2 linked regions of the Lepisosteus oculatus genome follow. The main gene of each other region encodes a partner of the protein of the gene in region 2 in a complex. Links are inferred from orthologs where the notes say so. Each region holds a gene or a part of one and is shown on either strand. Other genes may lie near its edges. The genes, in order: rbm8a and casc3.

Region 1 (15,611 bases), on a different chromosome or scaffold from region 2:
GGTACTTTCACAAAAATCACGATTCTGTGCTTAATTTGAAATTTGCAAGCTTTTTCTAATGAATTCATCGTGTTACCGAGATTTAATAACCAGTCGGCGAAATTGGGACTGCAGTTCCCCTTTGATGTTGTGCAACTCTGATGTGCATTAGACCAAGAACCACTGGGGAAAATTAGGTCAGCGATGTCACAGAGTCGAGGTTCAATGTGACTCTGAGGCCATGCGGCCCCCGAGGACAAGAGTATGAGATCTGGAACAGGTTCAGAGTTCATCATGTGAAGCAGGTCTTGTTGAAACAATGAAGATTCAGTATTAAGTCAGCTGTGCTAGTTAACGTAGGGGAATACAGGTCTCTAACTTGGCACAGCTTGGATTTAAAACCTCCTTTCTGTGCTGAATATTTAAAAGGACTACTTAAGAACTACAAATTTATTATTTAGAATTATAAGAACCAATATAAACCTATTAACTACTGTCATGCTTCCAGTCGGCATCGACAGGACAAAAAGTGCTACTGGGATTTTGTAACAATAGCTCATAACAATAGCTCAAAGGCAAAAGCACAATTTGTAATAATCACCAACACCTAACCAACACAAGGCAATGAAGCTACTGTTTATGCAAAATCGGCACCGTGCCACATCATTCTTCTTTAGTTTCCTTAGTGAACTTAAAAAAACAAAAACAGAAACCAAAACTATATTCTGTAATGAGCATTTCACCAGCAGGTCCTGCTTTTCTCTATGAGTAACATACCACTTACTGTGCTATGTAGTCAACGCCTTAAATTAGAGCCACTTCTAAACATTATATAGTTAAATAAAACTCTGAAAATTAATCCTTCCTCAGATTTTGTTCCAAAAGCTGCATGATAACCTACTTGTACTAAAAAGCTATAAGATTAAAAGGCAGATCTGGTTGTTCCTCCTCTCGTTGTCAGTGCAAACTGTACCAGAGTAATGAAGTAGCAGAGATACAGTAAGGAGAGTGATAAGCACACTTAAAAATAAAATGCTTTCTGAAAGAATCACATTAACTGCAATCTTTGTTGAAAATTTAATGAAGTGACATAAGAACACTGCCTAAACTATATAAAAAGAAAGTTACAACACTGCTATATTTTGCTGCATACTGTTTAAAAATCAATACTAATACCAATCCCACACCAGATCATTTCTATAATAAGAAGAGATTTGTCAGCATAATGAAAAAAGTTTTTATTACATTTTAAAACTTATTTAGTAATAAGGTCTTAGTAATAAATAAGTCTTAAAACATCTGTATTAAAACAATATTGATTTTTTTTTTCCAATTTAGTCAAAGTCTTAACACTGAATTCCCCAATTCTACTACCTTTTTCTCCCACAACCACAAGTTGCTTCTTCAAGCTCAACCTTTCCTATTCTCTATTTGTATCTCACGGTTTTGTCTGCATCTAACACTTGACTACATTAAATCTCTGACAGATAACTACCCATTTTGAAATCCATCAAAATAATGTTGAATGTCCTTTGTGGTAGGAGGAGGAGTATCCTGTCGATGTGACACTACAAACCTACCTAGTTTACTCGCAGTACTATAATAAGTCATTGATATCAATTAGGACGAGCAGTAACCCTCGTGTGGATCCCCAAGTCAGGTATTCCCTGGTTAAAGCTTTCCTGCTCTGGTCTATTCGCCACATCACCACTACGAGTTCTGATGCGATGCCCTGCGGCCCACACGGGTGGGAGCCAGCCCGCGGAGACACTGACCTCCTCTTGCTCTTCGGTGGGCCCCGGACGAAGGCCCAGTCCACGCTGATGGGCTGGCCCATCAGGTCCTGACTGTTCAGCCCTTCCATGGCTGCCTGAGCCTCTTTGTAGGTTTCATACTCCACCAAGGCGTAGCCCTGCAAGAGAATGGAAATCCCATTTGATTACACCCCATCGCCGCCGTATGCCCCAGTTTCTTCTTCAAATACCACTTGGTAAACAATACCGAACATGTTTGCTTGTGCTGTAAGAAACCCTAAGCAGGGTAGAAATTGGTGAAGGCCACCCAATAAACAAAATACTTCTGATAAGGACGACCTTCGTTTCACACGACACGGGAGATGAGATACCACATCCCCAGCCTGTAAAAATGCTAAACTATTTTACTTTTCTAAAGAGACTATTAGTGAAAAATTACCACAAACGTTTAAAAATTCACATTAACACTGGATCAAAGTACTACAGTGCAAAAACGTGAGCACTTAAAATGAAGAAACTATGCATCAAAGATTTTTGAACGTCAGAAAAATAGTTTCACGATTAAGACAGAATAAAGCAATTCTTCCCATTTGGTTTGGATATTAATACAGCTCATGGTTAATCATACTTTCAAATCAATGAAGAAATGAATACTGAGCTCCACATAAGGAGCTTAAACACTTACAAAACCTCCAGCAAGGTATATGTCCTGTGGAATAAGCTGAATTATACCACGCACAAAATAAATAAACAATATTCTAAACTTATTCCAAGTATGTTTGAGTGCCATCTAACTTATGAGACTAGTGACCGTTTGCTCAAAAAAAGCATTCAGTATTTATTTTATCACTGAAATCAAGACTGGCTGTTTAAAGCTCACAAAGGACGATGACCCAAATCTGCCCTGTTATATACTGCACAGTTTAGGAACAGATCATGTTTTTCAGTACTGATGTTGTTTAACGTTATGAAGAATTAAAATGCCCCAAATGACAAAAGACATCACATCTAAAAGTAGGGACACTAAACCTCAAACAGGACCTCACTTTAAATTTCTTCAGTACCTGCCTCAAACTCAAGAAACATGGTAAAATGAAGGGGACATTTCACATTAAGGCATGTTATGCAACTAGACAGTTGGTGGTTGAATCAAAAACCTGGAAAAAGGAAAAATGTCCCCTCGAGCTAGGCTTATAGAAAAAAAAGTGAGGTTGGTTACCTTAAGGTAGCCCGTCCTTCGGTCCAAATTCAAGTGCAAGTTCTTGATTTCTCCAAACTCTGCAAATTTGTCATGGATGTCCTCTTCTGTGGCTTCTTCATGGACTCCTGTCACAAACAGGATCCAGCCTTCGACAGCTGTAAACAGAGGAACACTGTTACACCTTTTCAGTACAGGAAGAAGCGTGTAGTTAACATTTAATCAGTTCAAAGCTGTTATACTTTGAAACGACCTCTTCATTCAAAGGGCGATAGAGGTCTGAACAAACCCCTCAGCAGTGCTGTTAAAGCCAATTCCATGAGACCCTTCAAGAAACGCTTGGATATGGGCTTCAGATGAACCACCTATTTACTAGATACCAAACTAGAAGATGAGCCTGACATCCTCTCGTCTTTAATGCTTCTGATCTTGCACAGTACTGGGGACACCCTCTGTACTTACATCTCTGAGGTCCTGGTTCATCACCATCCTGCTCGACTGTATCATAGTCCTCTCGCACCCGGGACCGCGCCCCCTCCTCTGTGGAAAAGTACACCAACAGTAACACAGCTCTCAAACTGAACCCCAATCAAAGTCGGGACATCAAATCATTACATTAGGCTAGTGTACAATTAATTAATTAACTACAATTAATGCAGTGAGAAAAAATTCCTAGCAAGATGGAAAAGCATGATACAGGACTCAGTTTATCGCTCCTACACTCCATATGCTTGAAGAATAGATAAAGACTGTACTTCAGTAATTAAAAAAGCCTAATGAGCAGTCATTTTGATAGAAAACTAGTAAAACAATTAAACTTATGTTAGTAATGCACCCGACTTGCTGAAAACAGGCATTTAGCAGTTGTAATCTTTATTTTCCATGTATTTAATGCAGTATGGCAACATAATCACCATCCATCTTGGCAATACACTTTTATAAAAAGAAGCAATTGGCACATCAAATTTGTAAAGGTCTCTTTTTTAGAGGTCTTAATTTAGATCTACAATTGTACAAAAATATATGAATCTGAATATCTACAAGAGAGCTGAATTGCTTGTCAGATCGACTGCCACAACCACCAGCTTTTCCTGCAAAACGGGTGCTCCAAATACAATCATTCCTGTACACCTTCATTAGGAGCTGGGATTGTTGCTAAACATGCTTCAATGTGCTGGAGCCGTGTGATCAAACAAGAAGGAGGCTCCAGTCCGGTCCTACATGTCCCAGGCCCTCCGGGTTTTCTTGTTCTCTTTAGCTCCTCAATAAGCCTGTTAAGACCTAGAGATCTAGTAGCAATGGTCAAGGTGGACACCTCAAGATTGTATTCCATTGGAAAATCATGAAAAACAAAATTCCAGGCTGTATTTCACTGGCTAATAGTGAACTTAAAGTTCAAGAACATATTTATTTTCCACATCAACATTTTCCCCTGATAATAATGAACTTTGTTATAGGGCTGGGCGATAACTCGATAACGATAATTATCGCGATATAATTTTCCTCGATATAATTTTAACAAAAGTTTGATAAATGTTCGATATATATGTTTATGCTTTGCGCATGCGTGTTGCAGACCGGGCTGCTAACGTGCTGTTTATCCACACGGTGGTGGCTGACAGGATTGTAGTTAGAGTGGAGAAATGAGCGACACTGAAGCAAATGTAGTGCTGCTAATGACCAGCTCGAAGGACGATGACATCGTCGACAGAAAAGGTCATTCAACTTCAGTAATTTGGAGATTTTTTGGCTTTTTACGATCAGACATAAAACAGAGCACTTTAAACTTTGCAGTCTGTCTGAACCATCTTCTATGTGTGTTTTATCACACTGCAGTATTTAATTTTTCTATTAAGATATTTATTTTGTACATTTTACTCATGTATATTTTTACATAAAAAAGACTTGAATACTCTCTATTCATCTGTTTAATGTTTCTGCTGTTTGGCAAGTGTTTGTTGTGTTCATAAAATAAAGAGTCGTTTAATTTTCCAATTAACTGTTCCTTCAACTTTCACTCAGGAGAAAAAATCTGCCTTTAAACTTGAAAGAAATAATTATTTGAGATTCATCGTGATAATTATCTATATCGACTGATATGAAAATTTTGATTGAGATAATGTTTTTGGCCATATCGCCCAGCCCTACTTTGTTATACAGCACCTTTAAAAGTAACTTCTCCAGGTTACTCATTTAATCACCAATGACAAAACAGCCAGAAGCTCTCATTTCCAGCTCAGCCTAGAAATCCATCTGTACAGCTGCCAACATGCTTCCACAACACGGACTCACCTGATCCGAACCCTCTGCCTTTTCTCTTCTTTGCCTTTTCCTTTAACTTATGGATGCTTTCTGAAAAAGAAGACAGTACAGTGGGCATTAGTTTTTCCCGCGTTGAACACATCTATAAAGAGGTCAAAACAGAAGATGTCTTTTTGCTCTCCATTCATTGACAAAATGTTACTTTTTGAGGCTAGCACAAAGTGTGTTCCCATTGTGCTACTGTTGAATTTGATATGGTCATTGTCGATTCTGATATGCTATGATTTATTTGATCTAATTGGGAATGACACACTTTGCCCATTCAAGACTGTATCTTTTTAAGCTTCTCTGATTGTAAACTGACATGGACAAAGACAACAGCAACAGTGCTATCATAGCATACCATGCACACAACTGGTTCAACTAAAAAGCAGATGATTTTATTCTATATAATTTAATTCTATACCAAATAGCCAACGTTACATTCTCGGACAGTTATTCTCTGGAACAACACAGAACAAGTGATCCCCTCATCGTTAACCCTTCTTCACGACGCCGATCGGCTGTATTGATCGTGGTTACAGCAATCCCCACCCCCCTCTCCCCCCGCGGCATCAGCAATTCTGCATCGTTAATGGAATCCAGTTTGATCAGAGGACTGTGGGTGAACCGTGTGGGAAAGACGGGGTCCGAGTCGGACCCCAGATGGCAGACCCTGTTAAACAAGACCCTGCACCCCGATGGCGCCCAGGCCCGAGTCAAACCCGGGCCTCCCCTGCGGCTCCCACGCCCGCCTCCCTGCGGCCTGGCAAGCGTATTCCGCTCTGGACGATGAGCAAAGGTAAATATTTTAACAGCCGCAATGGCTGAACCTCAGCACCTCCACAGAACCCAAGCAGAGCTTATAGACCGCCCTACAAGCCGACAGCGAAAATTACACTGCGTGTGTAGGAAATAAGGGAGGGCAGAGATACAGCAAAACCGCGAACAAAAATGATTATAAGGGCCGTTAATAAATATAGTTGCACCCCCGGTCACCCATAAGCGAATAACTACAAAATTACATTCAAACCAAACCAGATCCAGACAAACAGTGTGGCTCATTTGTACACTGCTGAACTATCTTTTGCCGAAAAATAACGTTTACAGCGGGCTATACCTAAGAAAAAAAGACGAACCGACTGCTCTTATTTTAAACTACTCTGTGGTCCGCGGAAAGGTATATTAAATTTTACCATCACCATCCTCATCCATAGGAAAATCCTCGCCGCCAGCTTCATGTAAGTCCAGGACGTCCGCCATCTTCTCTGCCGTGTGTGGAAAGACGTGCGAGACCGGAAACGCGTCACCTTCTTTAACCGCCAACGGAAGAAATCGCGGAGAGGCGAGTCTGCGGCCATTTTGAGGAGGTCTGTTAACCCCACGCGTGAGGTCAAACGTCGACGGAACAAAAGACGGTGTGCCGTTGGTTTAAATGTGTTTATTTTTATAAGTGAAGATTAAAAATGTTTTATCACGCATATAAGTTATGAAATTAAAAAATACCAACTTAAAAGTAATTTAAAAGGATCATTTTTGCCTTTTCTCACACAAGGGTTTAATAATAATAATAATAATAATAATAATAAAAACCTTAATTACATGGCACCTTTAAAATTAACTTCCCAAAGAACTTTACAGTAAAAAAAAAGTTTACAAGGAGAAGACGTGACAAAATTGGCAAAACTTAATAATAATAATAATAATAATTGCTTACACTTACACTTATATAGCGCTTTTCTGGACACTCCACTCAAAGCGCTTTACAGGTAATGGGGTCTCCCATCCACCACCACCAGTGTGCAGCCCCACCTGGATGATGCGACGGCAGCCATAGTGCGCCAGAACGCTCACCACACATCAGCTATTAGTGGGGAGGAGAGCAGAGAGTGATGAAGCCAATTCATAGATGGGGATTATTAGGAGGCCATGATTGGTTAAGGCCAATGGGAAATTTGGCCAGGACGCCGGGGTTACACCCCTACTCTTTTCGAGAAACGCCCTGGGATTTTTAATGACCACAGAGAGTCAGGACCTCGGTTTTACGTCTCATCCGAAGGACGGCACCTGTTTACAGTATAGTGTCCCCATCACTATACTGGGGCATTAGGACCCACGTGGACTACAGGGTGAGCGCCCCCTGCTGGCCCCACTAACACCTCTTCCAGCAGCAACCTTAGTTTTTCCCAGGAGGTCTCCCATCCAGGTACTGAGCAGGCTCACACCTGCTTAGCTTCAGTGGGCTGCCAGTTGTGAGTTGCAGGGTGATATGGCTGCTGGCAAATCAAGGATTTTTAACTGAAATGCAGAATGCAGAGAATGTGACTCTGGTATCCTTGGGTATAGAGCTCCAGAGCTCTGGGGCGCAGCAGGAGAAGGCCTGTCACCCCCAGTTTCAACAAGTTTGAGCAGACCAGAGCCAGACGGATGAAGGTTGCGAGATGGGGAGCAGGAGGCCCAGCGAGCAGAGCACTGCAGTGATCAGTTCTGGAAGAGACGAATGTGCTGGGATACAGGATTTGTGTGGCAGAAGCCAACAAGTCCTGACATTGCAGTTACTGTATTTACTAAATAATGTTCTAAAGTAACTTTCTGAGAGACCAGCTTAAGACTTTAAACTAACTGGTTAAAAAGAACAGAATTCACAGTGAAATTTGTGTTTGAGATTTCAATTATTGCATTGCCTTAAAGCTTCAAGATTTTGAATGATAAAATCTAATACTGCTATTTAGCTCTTTGAACAAGAAACCGCATCCTGGCTGATTAAGCCATCGTGGTCTTTCTGTAATTTCCAGCTGGCGTTCCATACTTCCTCAGAAAGAAAGTGCCTTTTCTAGAGTGCTCAAGGAAAGCTTAAATAGTTTCTAAGTCTTTAATTTTGCTCAATATGGATTTATTATGATTGGAGTTGGACAAAGTGTTAGTCTTTCTAATAAAACCTTTATCACACCCTGTAAAATGCACTATTAAAGTAAGGAATCAATACATTTTGGATTGAAGTGGATGATGAAATGCTTAATTCTGCAACTGAGTATTGGTGAAGTAGCATTTTCTGTTCTGTTGGGATGTTGGCAAAAAAGTGTGGTTACTGCATTATGATGTTAGATGATTACTAACATCCTTCAGTTGAGAGAACAGAGATATGAATATGATCAAACATCAGTCCTAGAGAAAGACCTATGTAGGGTTAAACATAACATTTCTGGCAGAGGTGGTAAGTATTTATCAACTGTCAAGCTCAACTACTGTAGATCAGATGAAAGCAGAGGATGTAGCGTGTAGATTTTGTGAACTCAGTTCCCAGCTGTCTGCACTGCATATCAAGAGCAGATTTTACAACAGTGTTCATGTTGGTGCCAATAATTAGGTTGTTATCTAATCTGAGATCTACTGTATCTGTAATGTAATCTTAGATCTATAGATTTACAGTTTTGGTAAATACATAGAGTATTATGGGACAAATAGTAAAGTGTAGTATAAACCGAAGCAAACAAGATTTTTTTTATTAAAGATAGTAGTTTTCAAAAATGCACCTCTTCCTCATCAACCCCCTCGTCTAGAACCGTAAACTGAGAGTTACAACTGAAGAATGAAGAGATAAGAGAGATGCCCGGGAAGTGAGATAATTCATATCATTTTTGTGTTTTTGTATGTTTTTTGCAAACTATGCAGTTTAGTGGCTTGACGTAGGCTTTGTGCTCAAATGTATATAAAGATGCTGCCTGTCCTTGGTCAGTAAGATAAGGGGCATGTATTTGGTAAGATGGCTGTACGCCCATAATATGAAAAGAACTAACTGTTGTCTAGTCTGCAACTTAGATATAATTAATTGGCAGGTGTTGCTTTTTCATCATTTGTTTAGAATGTGTCATAGTAACTCTTTTTGTTTTAAGGTATAAAGGACCATCTTCAGCTACTTATTTTTTAAGTCTGGTGGTTGCAAGCCAGACTTCCAAATGCATATGAATAAAGAGACTTCTGCTTCACAGGCACCTGAACTTTGTCATTTTTTTGACACTACACAACATAACAGAATTTGTGAATCTCATGGTTTATTAACAATTTTTATGAATTAGCTAAATCTAATGCCTCAGGTGGAATTAATGTATCATGGCAATATCTGCTTCATTTCTGCACGACAAATATTGTGACCACTAACGTTTATAAGGACTGTTCAAACCATGTTAATTCCAGGTGTAGAGTACAAATCCACTGGAAACCTTTTCCTCAAGCAGAAGAGGAGTTTACTGTGTATTCAGCTGAAGAGAAGCACCCTCCCTGCAATTACAGTAGGAGGATGAGTTTAACAAGAAAAGGTACAGCTGACCTTTTGTACACTTACTTGATAAGGAAGACAAAGAGCTTAAGTCTCAACAAGAAAAAAAAAACTTCAGTCTTAATTTCTATTGGTTAAGCAAAATTCTACTTTAATCATAAGATGTCTACGTAACTGAGCTATATCAGTGTTTTCTAAAAGCAGGTAGTTACAATTGGCCTTCTACACAAAAACAATTCTTTGGGATTCTTAAAACAAGCCTTCTTTGTGTGTGCAGGCCCTCGCTCTTATCAACAGTAAATACATTTAATGTTTTGCTGAACAAGCTGTACGGATCAAGAATTTAAACCCTTCACAGGCAAGAAAATTACATTAGAATTTGAGTATTTAAAATAAGCTGGAGACTCGTTGAAAGGCATGCCATACCATAAGAGAGAATGTTCTGGTCTTGTACACAGTCTAACACTTGTGAGACAATCAGAACAGAAATAGAAACAATTGATTAGGGTTCTCAAAAGGCCCCTCCCTTGGGCTGCCAGCAGAAGCCAAAGCAATCCCCTTTCAGACAATTTAAAAAGGCAGAACAAGCCCACACCCACACCGGTAACCTAGCTCTGTGGTGAGCAGCTAAGCCTTCCTCCAGTACAGCACAGGAAAACAACACAACACATATGCACTGAAGTAATGTAACATTAACAGTAACGCAGACAGTCCTAGTTATCTCTAGTTATCAAAGAGAGGACCTATGACAGACACATACTGTAGATCTTCTTGAGAACCCAGGACGGGAATATTACCCAGAAGGGCTGAATTAAAAGCAGACAGACTACCCCTCTAACCTTCTGCAGCACAGGCTGTACAGGCATGGCAAAATTGATCCACCCTCTGATGCAGACGAATCAGAGGAGATCTCTTCCCCACCTATTTAGATATTGAGCACCACAGCGTTAATCAGAGAGCTAATAACGCCCTCCTAACAGAATCTAAATCACTGTAACCTCAGAAAAAGGTGTGCACTTGCCGGCCAGGTGATGAGTCTGCACTGCACTGAAACCAAGGTTGCGGCCACTAACTCAGGTGTCCGGTGGGCGTCACCTGATGACCTGTACACACCAGCCACTCGAGCAGTGCAGTTCCCCCACACGTCAGGCGATTCGTCGATCTTGATCAGGCTGAGAAATTTCCTGCCAATACTGCTCGTTTAGAAGGGGAAGCATTTTGGATTTTCTGTCTAAATACATTAACGCCTAATTGATTGTAAACTGAATGAGATCTTTAGGCATTTCCATAAACTGTCCTTCCTGTTGATTTGAATGACTATTTTAATTATTTACAGTAAATCAGATCATAAAGAAAATTGTGTACCCTCTCTGAAAGAAAAGTTAATAGGGATTGTCATGAATTTTGTATTTGACTATTAAATCCTTTAAGTGTTAAAAATATTAGTAGACCTGTGTGTGTAATGTAAACATTTAATTCAACACTCCAATTAATGAGGAAATTATCTAACTTTCTGTTTCCAGTTCATTGTTAGGGGATGTAATACCTCTGTTTGTATCAAGTACTGTCACTCTTTTAAGAATATCTCTAGTATTTAAGAAGCAAGTAAAATTGCAATCCAGGCAAAAAATAAACCAAGTAGATATGATGTCAGACGAACATGTTACAGGCTTCTCCTTTTTGGGTCTGGCTAAAGATCTTAAAACTCACTAATCCCTTATTTTTCAGAATCACATTTGGTCCCATTTTGTCTTTCCTTTCATCCATGACCACACACCAAAAGCCATGGACCCAAAATGCAGTTCTTCTGGATTTTGGCAATTAACCGAATATGAATCTTATTTTCTTCCACCCAGCAACCCCTGCTAGTTGGCTTTCATTAGCTTCTCAGTTGTGGTTTCAAAAATAGAATGTAGATAAAGCATTTCCATTCTGAAGCCATTAGATTTCCCCCCGAGCAGCTCCTTTTGAAAAGTAATTGTGAAGGGACGTTCAACGAAGCTGTGAGTTTGCCTCTTCAAGAGTGCAGAACAGGGTAGCAAATCAGTTACTTCTCTGGAGCCATCAGTTGGTCTGTGGAAACAAGCCCATGTGTTTGTCTCAGATGAGATATTGTTCCTAAATTAATCATCTGACTAAACCGATGAAGAACAACCAAGAAGAAAATTACTGAGGGTTGGAAATTCAAACACCTGAGTTTGTACACCTTCCCAAGAAAAGAACAGGTCAAAGGTAATGAACCAGATGAGTACATAACAATTCCATTCCAGTGAATCAGCTTTTATAATTTTGTGGTTTGAGCCTCTTAGTGTAAAGAACTGATTAAATCCCAGAATCACACCAGCACTAAATCTTCTGGCTAAATCTGGCTTCAGGCAAACAGGTTGGTTTACTGTTTGGTTATTTTTCTCTCCGTTCCTTGAACTCTTGACTACAAGAGATCATAAATGCTCACACATTTTCAATCAGCTTTCCATTTCCTTAGACATCAAACATGCAAATCAGTCACAGGGCCAAGATTTCAGATCCTTCTTATGGGGGTCCCATTTCGTGGCATTACAAAATGATGCTACACGGTTTTTTAACTTCATAATCTATTCAAAACATGAATGCTCAAACTGAAGACTTCTAAGGATAAAGCCACAGTTCTTTTTTGGGGTAAGTCTCTACAAACACTGTCTTTTTACACTGGCTTGGTATAATTTGTGCTCATTCTTCTTGTTGAATTTGCATGAATTTGCTCTACCAAGTTGCACTTACAGGCATAGATTGTCCAGTCTTCAAGAAGAGGATTCAAGTCAGGATTTTGACTGACATGAGCTTTCTTATTTTTTTTGGTCACTCAATATATCACTACATTAAAAATCGGGCCCACAAATGATAGTGGACACACATAAGAACAAGATAAGAATACCACAGTCCCTAGAACCCAAATCAAAAGTCCCAGATGAAACACCACTGCACTACTCTCCCCAACATGCTCCATCCAGTACTCGGGAGAGCCTCCTTCCTCCACACCAGGGGAAGAGCTGCAACTCTGCATATTTCTGCAGATCCGCCAATCCCAGACAACACGTCCCATTACAGGGAGAAGAAGGGGGAGAAGCCAGTGTGGGACCTGTCCTCTGCTGCGTCCCCCCTCTGGTCTCGGTGTCCTCTCCTGTGTCCAGTGGTGCAAAATCTGTGCCCACATCCTCCTGGCTGAGGCTTCTGAGTCTTAGGGTGCCCTTCCTGGCCAGAGCTCTAGTACTGACATGAGGGGCAGGTGATCAGGGGGTGTGTGGAGGGGGGTAGGCAGGACTAATGAGTGAGAGCTAATTAACGAGCAGGACTCTTTGCAGTTGATCAGGTATAACAGTGCATTGTCCCAACCCCCTTTATACCAGAGCTTCCTGTACAGGTATGTCCCTTTATATCCAAGATGTGGTTATACACATTTCAGTCACCATTTACTTTGGGGTGGTTAGCGGGTGTCTAGGCAAACAGTGTGTGGTTCCTCTCCTTCGTTGATTGGCACTTTAAAAGATAAGGGAAGCAGACAAAGAAAAATGAAACCCACAACAGCAGACAAAAACTGGCCATTATATTTCTACTCCAAGTCTATACAGTATATCCCCTGAGTTACTGCTCTACTCCCACTTCTTGTCTCTCTGCGACAGATGCACTACATTGGGTTTGTGTAATGCTTTGCATTTAGACCAAAATGTTCCCCATTTCTTTTGCCAGACCACAAAACCTTTTTCCACATGTTCACAGTATCACTTATATCCTTGTTGTAAACTCCATGTGGGATTATAGATGCATATCCCCCATCTTCCAGAGAGGCCAGCATTGTGGAGAAACAGGGACATTGCTGACTTTCCCGTTTTCTCCGATTTCAGTCGCTGAACTCTCTCTTTGGCTCTTCCAAAGTTACCGCTGGTCTCACAGCTGTGTCCCTGATCTGTTTCCCCTCGTCTGGCGGTTCAGATAGAGGATCAGATGAGTGCCTTCCACTTCTCAATGATCACACTCCCCGTGCTCAAAGAGATGTTAAAGGAAATGTTTTAGATTCTTCTCGGATCCTTTACACAACTTTCTCCTTAAGTTGTTTTGAAAGTCCCTTTGTCTTCATACAGTAGTTGAATGTTTGCTTGAAATTCAGTAGTTGACTAAAAGAACTTTACGGACATAGATGTATTTATTCAGAAATCATGTGAACCACCATCATTGCACACAGACAGACAGACTCAAATTAGTCTGTGGATCGTTAAGGTAATTTTGTGCACATAAATGGATTTAAGATCACCACAGCACAGGGTTTGAATAATCTTGCAGTCATGACTCTTCTACTTTGCTTTCTTAATCAATTATATATTTACTTCCTTCATTTTGTATTTGGCTTTGAATATGTGGGATATTTTATGTACAGTATATAACAATAATTGCTATTTCAAAGTGTCATGAAAGCATGTTTTAAAGCAATCATATGTGAAATGTGCAAGGGTCTGCATACTTTTGCCAGTCACTGTTCTGTATTGGAAGGATGGTTTATTTTGTGGGTTGTAGCAGCAGTAGGTGAAAAGGAAAGACCTCAGATGGAAAAGCACCACAGATGGGAAAAAATGCCAACACTAGTTTTGTTTGCTGTTTTATTGCATTAAAAATCTATATAGAAAAGTACTTCCATGGTAAAAAGCAATATATCAAAAATCGTTCATATAAAATATATATCAAAACACTGTATATAAAACTAAAAGGACATACTAAATGAACTAGAAAAAGGTTCGGAATTCTAGACATTGTTGGTAAGGTTTTTATACAACATGGATGCCACTGTTAATACTAATTCCTTACACTTCCTCTATATAGTGCTCTGGACACCATTCAAAGCACTTTACAGGTCATGGGGATCCCCTCCACCAGCACCAGTGTGCAGCCCCACCTGGATGATGCGCCAGTCCGCTCCCCACACACCAGCTCTCAGTGGGGAGGAGAGCAGAGTGATGAAGATGTTTGTTTTTTTACCCAAGAGAGGACTAAAAGAACGCTATGTACAAATAATGACAAACTTTTAAACCCTGTTCACTATTGTGCTACTATATTCTAACATTTTCCAAATACTATGAAGTATTTTATGAAATAATTTGAACACTTCCAAAAATTACACTGTTGTGCAGAGGTCTACCGAATTTTGCAACGTTGCATGCAGAACCAGTTCTATCGCCATCTGAGCCATTTTGTTTTACATCCAATACTGACAGAGCTATATTTTGTAGAAAGCAGCCTTTGAGCTTTTAATGATTTACGGATGTGTAGAGAGTAACAAATGATGCCAGTGATGAGTAACACTTTACAATGAGCCAATCAGCAAATGAGTCTCATTACTGTAGCTACTAGACCACTTCAGATTGGCTACCTTTGTATAATTTACCTTGGGCTGCCGTGCTCACCTTTTGGAAGATCCTGATCAGCGTGAATGTCACATTTCTACAGTACATGACAAGACTGGTTTCTTATGCAAACTACGGTATATTAATAACAAAGCTGTTACAATCGATGTTATTACAATAAAATGGAGGCCTTCCTTATCTTACAGGTGGGGGAAAGGCGAGAGCCGAGATCAGAAGAGCAGAATTTGTATTTATATATTTCTCCAAACGTGCCACCTCATTTTACTTCCCCTGTACACATCCCGGTTCCCAAAGTGTATGATTCCATCACTCAAAGTTTTTTTACCCTTTAAGTTTCTAAATTAAATGTTTCACACTTCATTTTTGCTGTACTACACATTTACCTTGATTGAGATCTACTGGCTACATTCTACTATGAAACAGTTTAGCACTTGTAAATGTTTATAAGGTATATTTATAAGAACATATCGAAGGTCATGAAACTGCAAAAAAAGAGAAGTTTTTTCAAAGCAATATATTTACAACACTTTAAACAAGCACCCTTATGTTTGTGATTTATTAACTACAAGAGTCATATAAGAACATTTTCTGGAGGGGATTCAAAAAGACTGAAATAGTTGAAAATATCTGAATATAATATCTTAAATATGTTCTTCCCTAAAAGATATTCTCAAAAGGGTGACTGAATTAGAGGTCTGGATGTGTATTTT
Region 2 (16,180 bases):
GGAACACACGGCGCCCCACCCAACCCACCTCCGGAGGGGGGGGCTTGATGGTGACCGGCTGGGAGGAGCGGCGGGGGGGCGAGGGCTTCGGCTGGGCCTGCTGCTGCATCGTGTCGTAGTAGGTCACCCCCCCGTAGACCTGCGCCTGCGCCTGCGGGCGAGAGAACGGAGACACCGCCGGGGTTAGAGGCCGCCCAGGAGTGCAGCGCTGGCAGCCTGGAGACCAAATACATCACCGGGGCTCCGCGTGCCCAACATCAACAACCGCGGAGTCTTCCAAATACAGTTTGTACCACGGACTAGTGCTGTTTCACATCTACCAGTCTGACTGAACGCTCCCATCTGGACGAGAGGCAATGAGAATGAATGTCCAGGCTACAAGGAAAGCGGCGATGCTTAGAGAAGCTTGTAGAGATGACGACTCTTCTTGATGACAAAAACACGTTTTAAAATCCCCAAAGCACAACATGACTACAGTGTTTCAAGCAACTAAGGTTGCTGCTGGAAGAGGTGTTAGTGGGGCCAGTAGGGGGCGCTCACCCTGTGGTCCATGTGGGTCCTAATGCCTCAGTATAGTGACGGGGACACTATACTGTAAACAGGCACCGTCCTTTAGATGAGACGTAAAACCGAGGTCCTGACTCTCTGTGGTCATTAAAAATCCCAGGGCGTTTCTCGAAAAGAGTAGGGGTATAACCCTGGTGTCCTGGTCAAATTTCCCATTGGCCCTTACCAATCATGGCCTCCTAATAATCCCCATCTCTGAACTGGCTTCATCACTCTGCTGTCCTCCCCACTGAGAGCTGGTGTGTGGGCAGCGTTCTGGCGCACTATGGCTGCCATCGCATCATCCAGGTGGGGCTGCACACTGGTGGTGGTGGAGGGGATCCCCATTACCTGTATAGCGCTTTGAGTGGAGTGTCCAGAAAAATGCTATATAAGTGTAAGCAATTATTATTATTATAGTGTGGTCAGTGAACAGAAGTGTGGGTGCAGAACCAGCCGGGGGGAGCACAGGCCGGAGAAGTGTCCTCACCTGGGGGTTGGGGTACAGGGGTGGCAGCGTGGCTCCGGCGGGGTAGGGGAAGTTGGTGTTGCTGAAGGTCATGACACCCGGTGGGGGGTAGAAGGTGGGGGCCAGCAGCTGCTGTGGCGGGGGCTGCCCGGGTGACATGGAAACGGGGGGCCCGGCGTACAGCGCCGTGTTCGGGAGGGGGGCGCCCGACTGGTGCGGGTGCAGACCTACGAGAGGAACAGAAGGAACCGGAGTGAGCGCAGCTCTCCCCGGGTCAAGGACAAACGTCAAGCAAGGGGCAGTGCGGCATCATGGGTATTAAGACCTGTACCAAAACAGCAGCCTTACAGAGAAGGAGGAAGAACAACATATGAAATGCGTCAGCTAAAAGCACAGTATAATCTCAAAATCCAAAACAACTGCAAACAGGATCCTTAAAGAGCATCAAATGAATAGACTTAGTAGCAACCGAAAAGGTCAGAGTTCACAGAGACGGTCGGTCCCCTCTGCCCAGCGGTCAGTGCAGAGCAGGGGGCTGCTGGACACAGACCTGGGTGTGGGAGGTGCATCTCAGGCTGGACCAGCATGCCCTGTGGAGGCAGGGGGGCGGGGCTCTCGCTGTGAGTGTAGATTGGTCCTTGGAACGGCACTGCGGCAGAGGCAGGAGGGAGAAGACATGAAGACGCGCCGACTTGCACCTGGGAGGCCCCCCAACAGAACCAGGCCCGTTACGGGCTGAGCGCCTGTACAGCAGTTCCTCAAAATAACCCCCACCCCCCAACACCAAACCGAGTGACAGCTTTACCAATTCCACAACTACACACAGCCTCAGGCTCAAAACCACCGCTTATCAGCTTATTATTCTAACAGCTCAAGTGCAAGAAGTCATTTGTAAACTTGGGAATTCATTCTGTCTAGGTTTGTGAGGTTCTTTTAAAAGACACCCCAGCAGCTGATGGGACCCTCAGACCCCTCCTGTGCTTTGATGTTTTGCACATTGCCTGTTGTTGTATTTTGCACATCGCCTGTTGTTGTTTTTTTGCACACTGCCTGTTGTCTCTCTTTCTTTTGCTACACAATTGTATTGTTGTTGTTTCTTTCCTTTTCGTACTACTTATGTCCGAGAGCTAGCTAAATAGTATTTCGTTATACCATATACCATGTATATGAGTGTAATGACAATAAACTTGAAACTTGAACTTGAAGCAGAGGGGGCCAAATGAAAGCTGTAGACCGGCACTCACTGGGGTCGTAGTAGTGGCCCTCCATGATGCCGATGTGCATGGGCGCCGGCTCGGGGACCGGCCTCTGCCTCTGGGAGGAGTACCGCTTGGCTCTGCCCGCGCTCACCCCCTGGACAGGGAGAGAGAAGACACAGCCGGTCAGACGGCACACTCCTGCAGCCCCGCGGAGAGGAGCAGGGGGCTCCCCCCACTCCTGCAGCCCCGCGGAGAGGAGCAGGGGGCTCCCCCCACTCCTGCAGCCCCGCGGAGAGGAGCAGGGGGGTCCCACAAAGGGCACCACACTCCTGCAGCCCCGCGGAGAGGAGCAGGGGGCTCCCCCCCACTCCTGCAGCCCCGCGGAGAGGAGCAGGGGGGTCCCCCCACTCCTGCAGCCCCGCGGAGAGGAGCAGGGGGGTCCCACAAGGGGCACCACACTCCTGCAACCTGCGGAGAGGAGCAGGGGGTCCCCACCTGGGGGCAGAGACAGGTTGCAGGACAAAAATCAGGAAGCTTTGACGCCTAGAGATCAGCAGCATGCAAATCAACCCTCACACTGGTCATCTGCCCCAGCAGCACTTCAAGTGGATGCATTAGTCGTGCTTTCAACAGTGGATCATGATACAAATAACCAGAAACCACAATCTGATCGGGTGTCCAAAGGGGAACCTGGCAGACAAAGATTTCTTTCTTGACCAGGTTTCTTCCAGCCTCCGGGAGCAGGCCTGCTGCAGGACCCCTCTCCCGGACCTAAACCAACACACGACTCACCAGCTCCTCCATCCTGTTGTACTGGGGAGGACCCCCACCCATGTGCAGCGGATTCGAAATCCCTGGAAAACAAAGGGGGAAGAAAGTCACTCCTGCGATGGGACTCAGGAGGAGTACAGAACCAGAGACAGCCGACCCCACAGGGGGGATAATTGAATCTCTTTTCAATATTTAGCCTGTAAATTTTGTCATTTGGCTGCAGTACTAGGAGACTTTTCCCAAGCAGGCAGTAAGGCGACCAGCTGTCACAAACATCCAAACTACACCAAATACAACAGCAAGGACACAACAAGTTCACCGAAGTCCAAATTTGAGAACCCACTCTCTCAATACCAGGCTTTGAGGTTAATTATCAAGGTCGTTTGGGGATTGCCAAATTTGTCCTTGCACATTTAAGGATTTGATCAGGTCCACCAGTGTAAAAGGTACACAGGACTGGAGCCTGTCTCTGGTCACAGCTCTTCTGCTGGGCACACTGGGAGGACGAAAAGGCAACAATATTACTTATATTACTAGAAGGGTCATGGATTCATCTGGAAGAAAAACCAGCGGAGTCCTCTGGGAAGGTAGGGAAACTGGGGCAATGAATTCCGTTCCCAGAAGCACTTCATCTCACTCAAGAGACCCCACAGCTTCACAAACAGAAAGCATGATGCACGGCCAGGAGCCTGGAGGGAACTAATTATTAAATACAGAACTAAATATAAATCTAATCATATAAAAATGAAAAGAGCTACAACGCGCCTGGTCATGCACCCCCCCCAGACTAAGCAGAAGCAGAGAGCAGGCTCGAGAGAGGTTTGCTGCCCTGATCCTCCACTAACTCAGCTGGAGAAGCGCGTGGCTCTTGTAATCCCCCACAGCCACCCACGGCTACAGGTCATGGGGCACCTCTCACTCCACAGGCGCCGCACACCTGAACTCTGCGTTCACTCAGAACTGCGGGGGAGCCGAAAAACCGTTCTCTCTCTCTCTCTCTCTCTCTCTCTCTCTCTCTCTCTCTCTCTCTCAAGATCTAGGGGGGGAGTTTACAGGACACCCCCCCCCCCCCCCCCCCCAACTAAGGGGAGTGGTGGCTCTGTGGCTCAGGATCTGAGCCTGTGACTGGAAGGTTGCCGGTTCAAATCCCACAGCCGGCAGAGGAATCCTACTCCGCTGGGCCCCTGAGCAAGGCCCTTAACCCCAACTGCTCCAGGGGCGCCGTATAAATGGCTGACCCTGCGCTCTGACCCCCAGTCTGTGTCTCATGGAGAGCAAGCTGGGGTCTGCGCAAAGACAAATTCCTAATGCAAGAAATTGTATAGGGCCAATAAAGCAACATTATTATTATTATTATTATTATTAAGAAAGGACGAACAATAACACACAAGGGGGTGAACTCTGGGCCACGTGGCTCCGGCGAGCACCAGTGTGAACAGGGGGTACCCCCCTCCCCCCATCACCATGGCGAGCAAAGAAAACCGAAAGCTCACCCCTCATTTCCCCGGGGAGGTAGGAGGGCGGGCTGTGCGCCCAGTTCTGCCCGCTCAGGCTGAGCCGGGCCAGGTCCTGGTCCAGCCCGCTGCCTTCCAGCGGGGGCTCCCAGCTCTCCGTCTTGACCGGCCCGTGGGGCCCGGCCCCCGGCGCGGGCGGCTGCTTGGGCGCGGGGCTGGCGGGCCGGCCGGGCTGCGCGGGCGCGGCGGTGGGGGGGCCCGGCGCGGGCGCGGGCGGCTGCAGCGGCGCCGCCTCCTCCAGGGAGGCCTGCTTGCCCAGCTCGGCGGCCCGGGTGCGAGTCCTGCGCGCCAGCGAGTACGATTTCTTTTCCACCGTCCTTTCCGGCGCCGCCTGGGCCGGGGGCGAGGCGTCCCGAGCCGCCGCCGCCGCGTCCGCCGCCGAGTCCCGCTCGGGCTTCACGTAGTACTCCTCCTCCTCCTCCTCCGCGCCGCGCGACCCCGGCGCCGCCGCCCCCGAGGGGCCGTGCTCGGCCTCCCCCCGCCGCCTGTGCGCCGGCTCGCCCTCCGCGTACTGGGGCGCGGGGGGGCCCCCGCGGCTGTAGCCGCCGCCGGCGTGGTGGTTACTGTCGTCGGGGGGTTTGTAGTTCGCGCGCCCCTCCTTGTAGGAGGGCGGGGGCCTGCTGTTCTGGAAGCCGCGGGCCTGGGGGTGCGAGACGCGCCCCGGCCCCCCCGCCGAACTCCTGCCGCCGAACGTCCGCGAGGCCGGGGCCCCCTGCTGCGACGGCGGGGCCGGGCCGGCGCTGTTGGCGGCTCCGTGCCAGGAGGCCCGACTCGGCTTCTCCCCGTCTCTCCAGCGGCGCTCCCGGCTGGGAGGACTGCCATACCTGGAACAGCAGGACAGACAGCGGTCAGCACGTGGGAGAGGGGGAGCGCGGGCCGGCGGGCAGGACCACCCCCCAGCCGGGGGGCCGTCTTCCCTTCCGCCGCGCTCAAGAGTCACAGAAGGGACCGCCAACTCGGCCAAGACTGCAGGAGGAGACACTGGGAGAGGTGGATTATGTATATTAGCTAAACTCCCCATCGTGATGGTTTTGGAAGTTCGTGATTTGTTTCTTCACCCTTTCTCCCCAGCACTATACCTTGTGTCAAAATGCAAAAGAGCGATAAAAACAGACTTCACGCTCATTTATATTTGGAATAATGGAGGTTTTGAGATGACTGGCAACTTTTTTGTTATTATTTCCGATTACCTTCATACGGGCCCAGCGCTCAGCATACCTTTGTCCGTTCATACAAGAACGAGATGATATAAATAACCCAAAAAGACCCCCCTGAGCCCATCCCCGAACCCCGGCCCGCGACGGCTGTACCTGGGCTTGCGCGAGCGGCTCGACCGGCCGTCCGCCGGCCCGTTGGCGTTGCGGATGTCGTAACCGTACAGCGCGATCAGCTCCTCCCGGGACTTCGGCGCCTGCTCGTCCTCGCGGAACTTGTCGTGTTCCCAGCGTCCCTCGTCCTTCCACAGCTTCCTGTGACGCCCCTTCGGCCTGCAGGGTGGGGGACAACAGGACAGAGGTGAGAGGGAGGGGAAACGCCGAGTCACGACGCCAAGCGACCCCAGCAGGAAGAGATGATTCAGAGAGAGCAGCACACAGAGAAGCAGGGGAAAAGACCCGAGCTCCTTCACAAAGTCCTGAGGAGCAAGATGCGGCTTTGGGACAGAAGGAGACGGACTTTAAAAAGGGTTGGAGTCGAGGTGCCGACAGCGCGCCCCACCACTCAGCAGCCCCTTGGCGGCGGCCCTGCTCCTCCTCACCGGATGTCGTCCTCCTGGGCCTGCCCGCGGACGTCGTGCTCGAAGAACAGCCCCTTGCGCGGGATGTAAGCGGGGTTCTTGCGGTCCTCATCATCGTCCAGCTTCTTCCCGGGCTTGGCGGAGGACTTGTTCTCCAGGGTGTCCGTGCTCTCCTGCCGGGACAGGCGGGGAGTTGGCACAGAGGGAAGGAGGAAGAGGAGGAGACGGGGTCACTCCGGGCATTCGAGAGCTCGCAGCACAGAGAAGCACATGTAACAGGCTGCCGGCGGCCCCACACCACGCGTGCAGACTAAATGGGAGTGCAATCCTTCTAATTACAGGACACCTGTTCCCAAGACTGGAATGGGGGGATTTCAGAAGCACACGGACACGAGCAGTTTGTGTGCACTGTTTTTTTCAGAATGCCAGCAAAGGGTTTAAAATACAACACAAAAAAGTACAATAAAAACAAAATTACTGTTGGTTTCAGACACGTAGGACACTTCTGCTTCCCTGCAATGGTGAAAATAAAAGTGATGATCAACAGAGCTACAGTACCTGCCCATCCCCACTCTGCCTCTCCCCAGCCAGGTTCCCCTTCTCCTCTGACTTCACCTCTTTGCTCCCTCCTCCTTCCTCCTCCTCCTCCTCTCCAGCCTGCTCATCCTCTGACGGTTTGGGCTCGGCAGGGGGCTTGGAGCCCTCTTCTTCACTGAACCCTGCTGCCTCTTCCTCCTCCTCACACTGGGTGGGGAGAGAAGATGGGGGAGACAGAACACAAAAGCGTTTCTTCCTCATCTCCTCAAACACTCACAATTAGCTAGGACACTCCTGACAACCACAAGCCATACAACACAAACCCCGGACACCTGAACACACTGCGCAGTGCTGGAGTAAACACCCCAAACCCCATGGGCGCCAGTCCCAGGGCTTTGCACTTTAATACGGTAAATTTAATTTCTTTATCGGAACATTTGCACGTATGTTGGTGCTTGTTTCTTCGTTCTGTACAGTTGGGAGTCCATAGCTGGGAAAACAAAGATACCACGTCACATGCCTGACGCTGCCTGGGGTGGTAAGGGGAGCAATTCAGAAAACGCTTGTCGAGTTTCGGCCCTGTGTTATCTGAAAAGTCTGAAAATACCTACAGTGCTTTGTGGAAACCCTTAATTAATATGATAAACAAGTCTATATTGTGCCATGTGGAGTGACTGACATGCAATCACAACAGCACAGGTTGTAAAACAGGAGAACATTACACCCACACACATGACAGGTCAGCAGAGACTGAGGCTAAACTTCATTAAAACAAAAGACTGCTCTTAATGACATGTAGGCACTGGATGTACAGCCCCTACAATTTACAGACATAGCTACGCTATAATTTCAGTTACAAACATCCGAGTTTTTCTCAGAAACCTCAAGGCACGTGGCCAGGCCAAATCGTGTGAGGAGGAGTTACTTTTCCTTGCACTCCTCTGAAAGCTTGAAGGATCCCAAGCTCCTTTAAGGGCATGGTTTTTCTCCTAAAGGAAGAAAGGCATCTGAAAGAACTCAGAAGGAAACAAACCTCAGAGTGTGAGCAGTTCTCTTCTGGGTCCGCACTTTCATAATCTGACAGGATTGCTGAGGACAAAACAAGAACATTCAGTATACAATTTGCTAACCCAGCATAAAATAAGACCTGGAAGACTGCAAGCAGCAGGCTGTCTTGTCATGGTCTCACTAAGTCACCTGAAGGATGGACAAGGCCTTTAACAGCAACTCTTTCCCTCTATTTAACAAATGATGATCAGAGAGAGCTGGACAAGCTGCTGAACCGATGTCATTCAGGGCTGGGCCTGGGGTCCCTGCAGTCATTCATGACACACAGTGCCCCACCCATGTGACAACCCCAGTAAGAACAATTACAGTTGTACACAAGATGTTAGACTCTAGATATTAACTGAAAGGTAAGGCCTCCAACCCAGGACAGCACAAGAAACTGTACTAGACGATAAACAATATGAGCTAAAGGCCTGTCCAGAGCTTAACTGTCCTCAACACATCCCCGTCCATATTTCTTCCGAAGTCCTAATAAGAGTCCTACTCCAGTTTGCAGGCATATATCAACCCCTGTCTTCAGTTAACCTGATCTTTGCCTGGAGACCTGCAAAAGCAGGGTCAGAGACTGCTGACTAACTGCACAACACACCGAATGGGCCACATTCGCAAGAAGCCAGAGTAATGACATTTACCGCAATTTAAAAATGAGTCACAAAGGAAATTTAAACCAGCTTACCATCGCCTATTCCATCTTCGCTTTCCTGCATTACGATGAGAGAAGAAAAACAAGTGTTAGTTGGAAACCTTATCGCAAGAAAACCGACTCACGTTATTTTCAATGATGTAATAATAAGAGCAGCAGTGCAATGTAAGTGCTAAACCGCAATTAACAGTTTTCTAGCAAGGGAACCCCAGCTCATTTTCTCACAGTTACAGACCTGGTCCAATATTTGATTTCATAATTGTGACACTTCTAACCCAGACTCTGGCGTGTTTAATAAATAACTATCTTTTAATGAAGTCAATAGTTTGAGGAAAAAACCCAAAAGAAAGGTTAACTACTCAGGTTGGAACAAAAAAGGACACTAGGCCATCCAACAGTGGAGTCCTGTAGTAAACATTATCCTTGGATATTCAGTTCATATAAACCCCATTAGAAAGCTGAAGGGATTTTCCTTCCCAGTGTACATTCTACAATTCCTTTTCCAACACCCATGCCATGCCTTGGAATGAGTTACCACTTCCTACATTTTCCAGGATCCCTAGAAAGCAGACTTATTTCAAAAAGAATTTCAAAAACGTGTTCATGATTTTTACTTGTTCTTTCTTGATACACACTTCGTAAATCACTGTGAGTCAAGCACATGAGCTTAAAAAAAAAAACACAGTTCCATTTGTTCCTATAGCACTAGTGTGCTTAAAACACTCTATATTCATGATTTCTCTTCAGGTAAGTTTGTTGAATATTTATTCTACCAGATTTTCAGAAAGGCAGTATTGTTTAAGATAAAATATTCTACTAGAAACAGAAAAGGCTGTTTACGTTACTCAAGCACAGCAGTTTCACATTCCTCCCTCAGTTTCACATTCCTCCCTCAGTGAGAGCTTGATAGTGACAGATTCAGGACACGTGTGAGCTCAGGCAACGACCATGCTGAGCAGACACACAGACTGTAGCCCCTGCCTACAGCACCAGTAGCGCCATTTTCCAGGAAGTCTGTACAGGAGCTGCCCACCGTTCCCAGGAAAGAAACTAAAGAAAGGCTTCCTAGGATTTTTAGGGAAAGGTTTGCCCTAGAAGAACACGTCTCTCAACCTCAGACAGCACATGTGGGAAACAGGTCGGACCCCGCCCCCCAATATACACCCGGGGCATCACAGCACATTCCACTCATGGAAACAGACGGCAAAAAAGGGGGGTGAAAGACCCCCAACTTGCATCGCACCATACACACTCGGAGACTTGATGATTCACTGGGGCTCCCCAACTCTCAAATCTCTGCTGGGGCGCAGGACATCACACACGCCGCCAGCAACGCCAGTAACTCGCACGCCACAAGCCACCTCGCCGCCCACAGGGTCTCGATGGGTTAGCGTTTCTTTCCCGCAGCCCCAGCTTGGTGCCGGGGAGACGTTTCCTGGGCCAGAAGGCTCGGACGCAGGGAGGAGGGCAAAGGGGCCACAGCAGAACCCGACCGTCGGCTGTTAAAGCTCGATCTGGGGGGGGGGCGAGAACCCGTCTGAGCTGCTGTGCGTTAGCAGGGTGTGGAAATAAAGCACCGCTAGTGATCCCCACCCCTGGACCCCAAAACTCTCTCTCCTGCAGGCTGTCAGGGACTCTGGAATCTCAACACTGACTTAAGAGCAGCTTAACGTTAGCGTTAAATGTTTTCACGAATCAAGCATTTCTTGGGTCTTAAGATTCTGTGAGTCAAGCTAAGAGACTTACGAACCCAAGAGCACTTGGGGTACCAGTGTATAAAGCGCAGGTCTCTGCACAACCCCGCTGTTTTCAGATGTCAACAGGCCACTGCGTTTGAGACCCCGCCATCGGCCAGCTGTGACACAGGAGGTGTGACACGGAGGGCAGCAGTCTGAGCTCCTGGGGATTCGAGTCTCCACTGCAGACGCTGCTGTTGTACTCCGAGCGGGGTGTCGTACCCCAGCAGCTGGTGAAGTGGGGAGCAGCACTGCTGGGGGTGACCCCTGCCCTGGACTGGCGTCCTGTCGGCGGTGGGGGGATCCCGTGCTCTCTCCTGCCCAGGGAGACTGGGGGGAAGAGAAGGGCTCTGGCCCCGTGTGGCTCAGGTATGGAGACTAGGCACCCAGCAGAGCAGCTCTGAGGACCCCGCTCACATAGAGGAGCCCATCGGCACCTCCCGTGCTCACGAAACTGGGTGCCATAGGCAAAAAGAAACTGAAAATAAAACAATCCTGGTCAAGCGATTGTAAATTCACAGGCCTTGAGCTCTGTGCTCCAGAGGATCCGATCTGCTCCAGACAGCCCATCACTACCCCTTGGAGTACAAACCCCACAAGCGCTCCGGGGCGGCCGGGCGGAGAGGACGCGTGTCCGTGGGCACCGAGTGGACGGTGAATTCACGCCCCTGCCTTTCCCCACACCAGCCCAGACCACCAACAAGGGAGAGGTTCCGATCTGCTCTCAGCATCCAGCTGGTAGCTTCCTCCAGTCGGCAGGGGCTACCGTCCGCTGCTCAAGCGGTATGGAGCTGCCGGACCGTGGGGCTCAACGCCCGGCCCCGGTGTAACCCGCACCGACCGCCCGGCTCCCCGCAGGGACCCGCGGCTCCACGGCCTCCCTCCTGGGCGCTGCTGCAGCGCTAGCCCGAGGCCGTGCGGCCTGAGAGGAGCCGAGCAGATGAAGCCCATTTTTAACTCCCCAGCTCAAAGCCGAGAAGCGTTGGGGGGGGTGGGGGTTCGGCGACGAGAGACTCACACACTCCGACTCGTCCTCACTCTTCTTCCGCACCCGGACGCTGGGCAGCACCGCAGGTTCGGGAGCCCTCGCCCGGGGCTTTCCTCCAGCTGGACCCGAATTCCCGCTCTCGGTGCCAGAACCGGACTCGTCCTCTTCCTCGGTGTCCTGGGACGCGCGCTTCCGCCGCCGCCGCCTGTCCGCCATCTTGGGAAATGAACAGGGGAAAACTTGCGCCTCCCGAGGGCTTATGGGAAACGTAGGCCAAGCACACGTGAGGAGGCGCAACGAAGCCATCGGGAACACTACAATTCCCATGAACCCTCACGGCCATGACTCGCGAAAGCTCTTTATGGGAAGTGTAGGCAATACTTACTGAAGCAGTGTTTGCTACTACAGATTGTCCGTCGGGTATTAAATTATTTCGGATTTGCAGTAAATGATAGGGGTTTTTTTTTAAACCGTTGACTAGTTCACCACGTGGAGTACTTCAAAGTCAGCAGTGCAACACGAACTAAATGACAAAAAAAATAAACTACGCGACAGAACCCCTACAGCTGGTTATATAATTTACACAAAGAGTTGTGTGAGTCTAGAACAAGTTGCCCAGCTGTGCTGCCGAAACATATTTCATCTTTTAAAAACATCTCTCGCATGAAGTTGATTTCATTTTCCAGTTAGTAAGGTGTAGTCATTTTACCTGAGCCCAGTTTCAAACCCCCAGGGTACTGACTTCGAAATCTCGTGTTGATGTGCTTTCAAAAGCAAGGAGGCTCTACCGCGGTCTCTCTAATTAATTCGAGGGATTATTGCGACTAAAAAGGTACTTATGTACCAGGCTGCGTTCTTCGACTTTGTCTTTCGAAGAGATGAACAACAGTGATCAATGAGAAACGTCAACAGGTCAATAACCTGGTAGAAGCGCCTGAAGCACTTCGACCCCACTTCGGTAGGCGCCTGCCACCTGGTGGAAGAACTAGGTACTGCTGAGCTCTGCGCAGGAATCGCGAGGGTTTTCCGGAAACTCGCGATCAGGTGCAGATTGTTGAGTTTAGGTGTAAAGTTTTCATGCTGGAAAAAAACCCATCCATAAAATAAGAGATGAAAGGCTGCATGGCATCAATAAAGCAGGATGTCTCCTTCCCCATTTGCTGAATCATTTATACTATTTCCTGTTAACACAGGACAGGCTTCCCGTTTTCAATCCTCAATTCACTACTGCCTTCATTTTGTCACTTGTGGCCTCGGGTCCTTTTCTCACTGCTGGTCCTGAAGCAGTCCCTCTTGGACGACTTATAAGGAGGCTTCTGTACATGAAGGGTGGCAGAAGCAGGAAACAAGCTGCACGCCCCATTGTTTTATTTTGAGAAATGGCTGGACTTTGGTCCTCAGTTTAATTAGCTACCAACAAATAACATTAGATGGGTGGAACAGTCTCTTTGCAAACCTGCAGTATGTGCTTTATCAGTCTTCATTTTATTTACACATAAGCATATTCCAGATGAAGTGTTACCAAGAGCTTTTACTTGCCTAGACTTGACATGTACAGATTTCACTCTATATCCTAATCCTGTTGCCTGACTCCTGACAGGACACACCCGAAACACTGCATTTTTAAGGGCGGAATTATCCTCTACTTGTTCTATAACACACTGTTACACGTGTAAGATTCCTACCAAAAGAGCTGAATCTCACGGCGATTTGGGGGGAAACCAGGTCCCATTTCTTAGAAACACCAAAAATAAATGCAGTGCAACCAGTGGCCCGTTCCTTTACTAACTCCGAGAGGGAGAAGGCAAAGCATAAATATCCCATCCCCTCCAAATAAAACATGGCATTCACTCGAGTTTGTGAATTTTATTGAAAAACAATTCCACTTTGTCAACTTTTTCACACTGAAGCATGTTTTTTTTTTTAGAATACCAATACTGAACGTTAACACTCAAGAGTGAAGTTGAACTTTAAATAAAAATAACAGCCACGTCGTGCTTATTTACACCTTGTGTGTGTTTCTGAAAGCTATGTACAGAGGCGGTCAAATATACAGTTTGGGATTTTGTCGTCTCCCGCTGGGGAGGAGAAACGGAACCAGAAGAGGACAGAGACGCAACAGGAAGCGGGGACGACCACAGAGAGAAAGAGACGCGCGTCTCGGGGCCTTCTGATCACGGCTGCCTCGACACAGGGCTGAGACTGGCAGGTTTCTCAGCGCCGTGGAACTCGCACGAGGAGCCGAGGGAACCGGTCGACATCCCAGCCTCCGTAACCCATTCCAAACAAGGTCTGAAGCACAGGCTGATCACGGTCCTTGTTCTATTCTATGGCAGGCTTGCTTTTTAATAGTAAATCGTCACTTATTTTCGTTACTCCTTCCCAAAGTGGAAGAGGCCATCAGATTTTTTTTTTTACACCTTTTGCCCAGTCACTACCAGTAGCCCAGGGCCCAACAGGAGGGGAGCGCCCCTCCCTGATGCCTCCTCCTGCCTGCAGGGAGCCCAGGAGGCCACAGGGGGCGCTGTGTTGTCAAGCACTGCGAGAGTTCTAACTGCCCCCACCACCACCCTCAGCAGGGGGTCAGTGACATGACCCAGGCTCGAACCCGTGCTCAGACAAGTGCCTTGACCAGCCGCTCCACACGGGGGCCCACCATGAGGCTTACCCTTGGAACTGGCTGGGAGAGGACGGCATGAGATCAACAACTGGGAAGAGCAGAATTCCAACATCAACACAAAAACGGGGTGAAAGACAGAGGCGAGGCTGAAAGAAATACTCTCATTTTTGTTGTGTTGCGCCTGAACGTGCACGACCAGCACAGAGGGGACTGGCGAGATGCGATCAATTCTGCAGGCGAAGAAGAAGCGGGGAAAAAAAACACAGGGCACAAACCGCCCAAAACAAAACGGACCCCACTGACCTCTGACCTCGCTGCCGGTCAGCTGGACACCCCTGCAAGCGACGCAGCCCCCCTGCAGCACCGACAGCGTCTCGTCTTGCATTTCTGTTTGTATTCCGGCATTCCTGAAGAAAACCAGTCATCACCTGACCAGGTAGCCTTGGGATCACACAGGCGTCAGGGATGTGAGGAGCTGACTCTGGAATCTTAACCTGAGAGGCCAGGGGGGCAGAAGTTTTTCATCATGTACAGCTAGGGTATTCCAGCTCGAAATAAGAGATCGACACAGTCGTGCTCCTCACTAACAGCAAATGCTGCTGGAAACGTGCAACCCCACACAATGTACAGCACACAGATCCTGGCTCTGTACTGCAAGTGTTTAACAAGCAAGGAGCTCAAGGGGTGGGCAGGTTGTGGGCACTGGACGCGAGGGCCAGCTGACCAGGCGGACAGAGCTCAGCTGTAAGAGCATCTTTACACAGAACCTGACAGGACGTAAAACTAACAATAAAAAGGGTAAGAAATACAATCCCCAAAATTTTAACAAAAACAGCAAAGGGATTAAAATACCTCCAACTGAGGAACATGCAGAAGATGAACATTTAAAGAGGGAAAACAGAGCAAACCCCCTCTCCCCTCCTCCAGAGGGACAGAGGAACAGCTATATGAACCCACTTTTAGACTAGTTTTCCTCTTTGTACAGTTTATTTTTACAGCATGCGTCTCTTATGCTTTTCAACAATCAGGGTAAAGCACCACTCCTGCGCTTGAAACAAGGGGCAGCGCTCCGAGGAACTCCCACTGGACACCGGCGGGGGCTTGGGACAGCGAGGACACAAGGACCTCCGGGGTCCTGAACCGCGAGATCCAGTGCTGGACCACCACCATCCCAATGCCTTAGGAAATTCCTATATTTCCAGTGAACAGAGAAATGGGGAAACATGGCAGCTCCTTCAAATGAAGCCACTTGAAGCTCAAATCAAACGGGCTACAGCTCCCCAAGACTTTGCTGAGCTCGAAACGTTTTTACCTTCTCCTGGTCAAGAGAGGACGCCGATGAGCCTCGGAAAGGGTGGGCCAGCCTGTTCATCCAGGTTCACCCGGGAGGTCCAGGCACCAGCTGCAGTGGGACCCCTGGTATTCATTCCACCTCCGACGCCAGTTACTTAATTCAACCCATTTGGATAGGATGTCTTTTCCGGGGGGCTTAATTGTGCATAGAGAAACGCAGATAAACCCACAGGTTTTGCCCGGTAGGTCTGGGGGTGTACAAGACGGTCCCGTCCCCCCAGGCTTTGAAGGGAGCTGTTCTGAGACTCAGGATAGCCGACACTCGAACAGAGGAAACGGGGCGACAGCGCTGCTGCCCCCTAGTGTCACGGCAGCCAGGAGAACCACAGCCATCCAGGCGCATTACGACACCATCAGCCAATCAGGCAGCTGCGTGCATCGTGTCAGACTGAGCTCCTGTCACAGTTCAAATGAAAACCCTCCTTTCACAATCAGCTCAACTTCCTCGGGGGATGAAATACCAGCACCTCTTTGCTGAACTCTTGTCACACAGCCTTAAGACATCCAATTCATTCTAAGCACAGTCCCTATAGAGATTTATAGGCCCAGTGAAAAGCACTGCATTTCTCCAATTAAGAAACCCACTGTGTAATCCAGTCTGGAATTTAGTTTTAAACCCCAAATTCAACAGCTAAGGACTGATCCAGACCAATTAAACCAAGTCATTAAAAGCTGGAGCATGGTAAGGGGCAGGAAGATCATATCTCTGGAATTCCAGGGCCATGCAGTTAGAACTGTATCTGGGAAACAAACAGCACATGGCTCAAGTACGATTCAACATTCTATAAGTACTATTATTTCTAGTCCCTTAATAGGCTTGGGTGGGTAATATTTCACTGAACACTGCACTTCAGATGCTCAGACGCAGGGAACTGTAGGAGATTGTGTGCCAACCAGGCACAGGGGAATCAGCAGGGCTCCTCTCCAAAAACTAGTGACCAGGGATCTAGACAAGGGCTCCTCAGGCCAAACCTTTAAGGGCCACAAGCAATTAATGGCCT

Evidence for each region.
Region 1: casc3 (region 2) and rbm8a share a complex: the UniProt entries of both Homo sapiens proteins name them as parts of the mRNA splicing-dependent exon junction complex. The link is inferred for Lepisosteus oculatus from reciprocal best matches to the Homo sapiens genes CASC3 and RBM8A.

Annotation. Positions count from the first base shown.
Region 1 is NC_090722.1:2,283,806-2,299,416, reverse strand, and holds the start of rbm8a (RNA-binding protein 8A), read right to left. Parts: upstream 6,535-15,611; 5' UTR 6,496-6,534; coding exon 6,429-6,495; intron 5,284-6,428; coding exon 5,224-5,283; intron 3,472-5,223; coding exon 3,394-3,471; intron 3,090-3,393; coding exon 2,953-3,089; intron 1,892-2,952; coding exon 1,755-1,891; intron 1-1,754.
Region 2 is NC_090723.1:9,611,341-9,627,520, reverse strand, and holds the start of casc3 (protein CASC3), read right to left. Parts: upstream 11,548-16,180; 5' UTR 11,534-11,547; coding exon 11,237-11,533; intron 8,541-11,236; coding exon 8,516-8,540; intron 7,861-8,515; coding exon 7,805-7,860; intron 6,979-7,804; coding exon 6,793-6,978; intron 6,408-6,792; coding exon 6,256-6,407; intron 5,987-6,255; coding exon 5,810-5,986; intron 5,324-5,809; coding exon 4,479-5,323; intron 3,069-4,478; coding exon 3,007-3,068; intron 2,369-3,006; coding exon 2,260-2,368; intron 1,665-2,259; coding exon 1,566-1,664; intron 1,243-1,565; coding exon 1,037-1,242; intron 152-1,036; coding exon 29-151; intron 1-28. UniProt on the Homo sapiens protein: Required for pre-mRNA splicing as component of the spliceosome. Core component of the splicing-dependent multiprotein exon junction complex (EJC) deposited at splice junctions on mRNAs.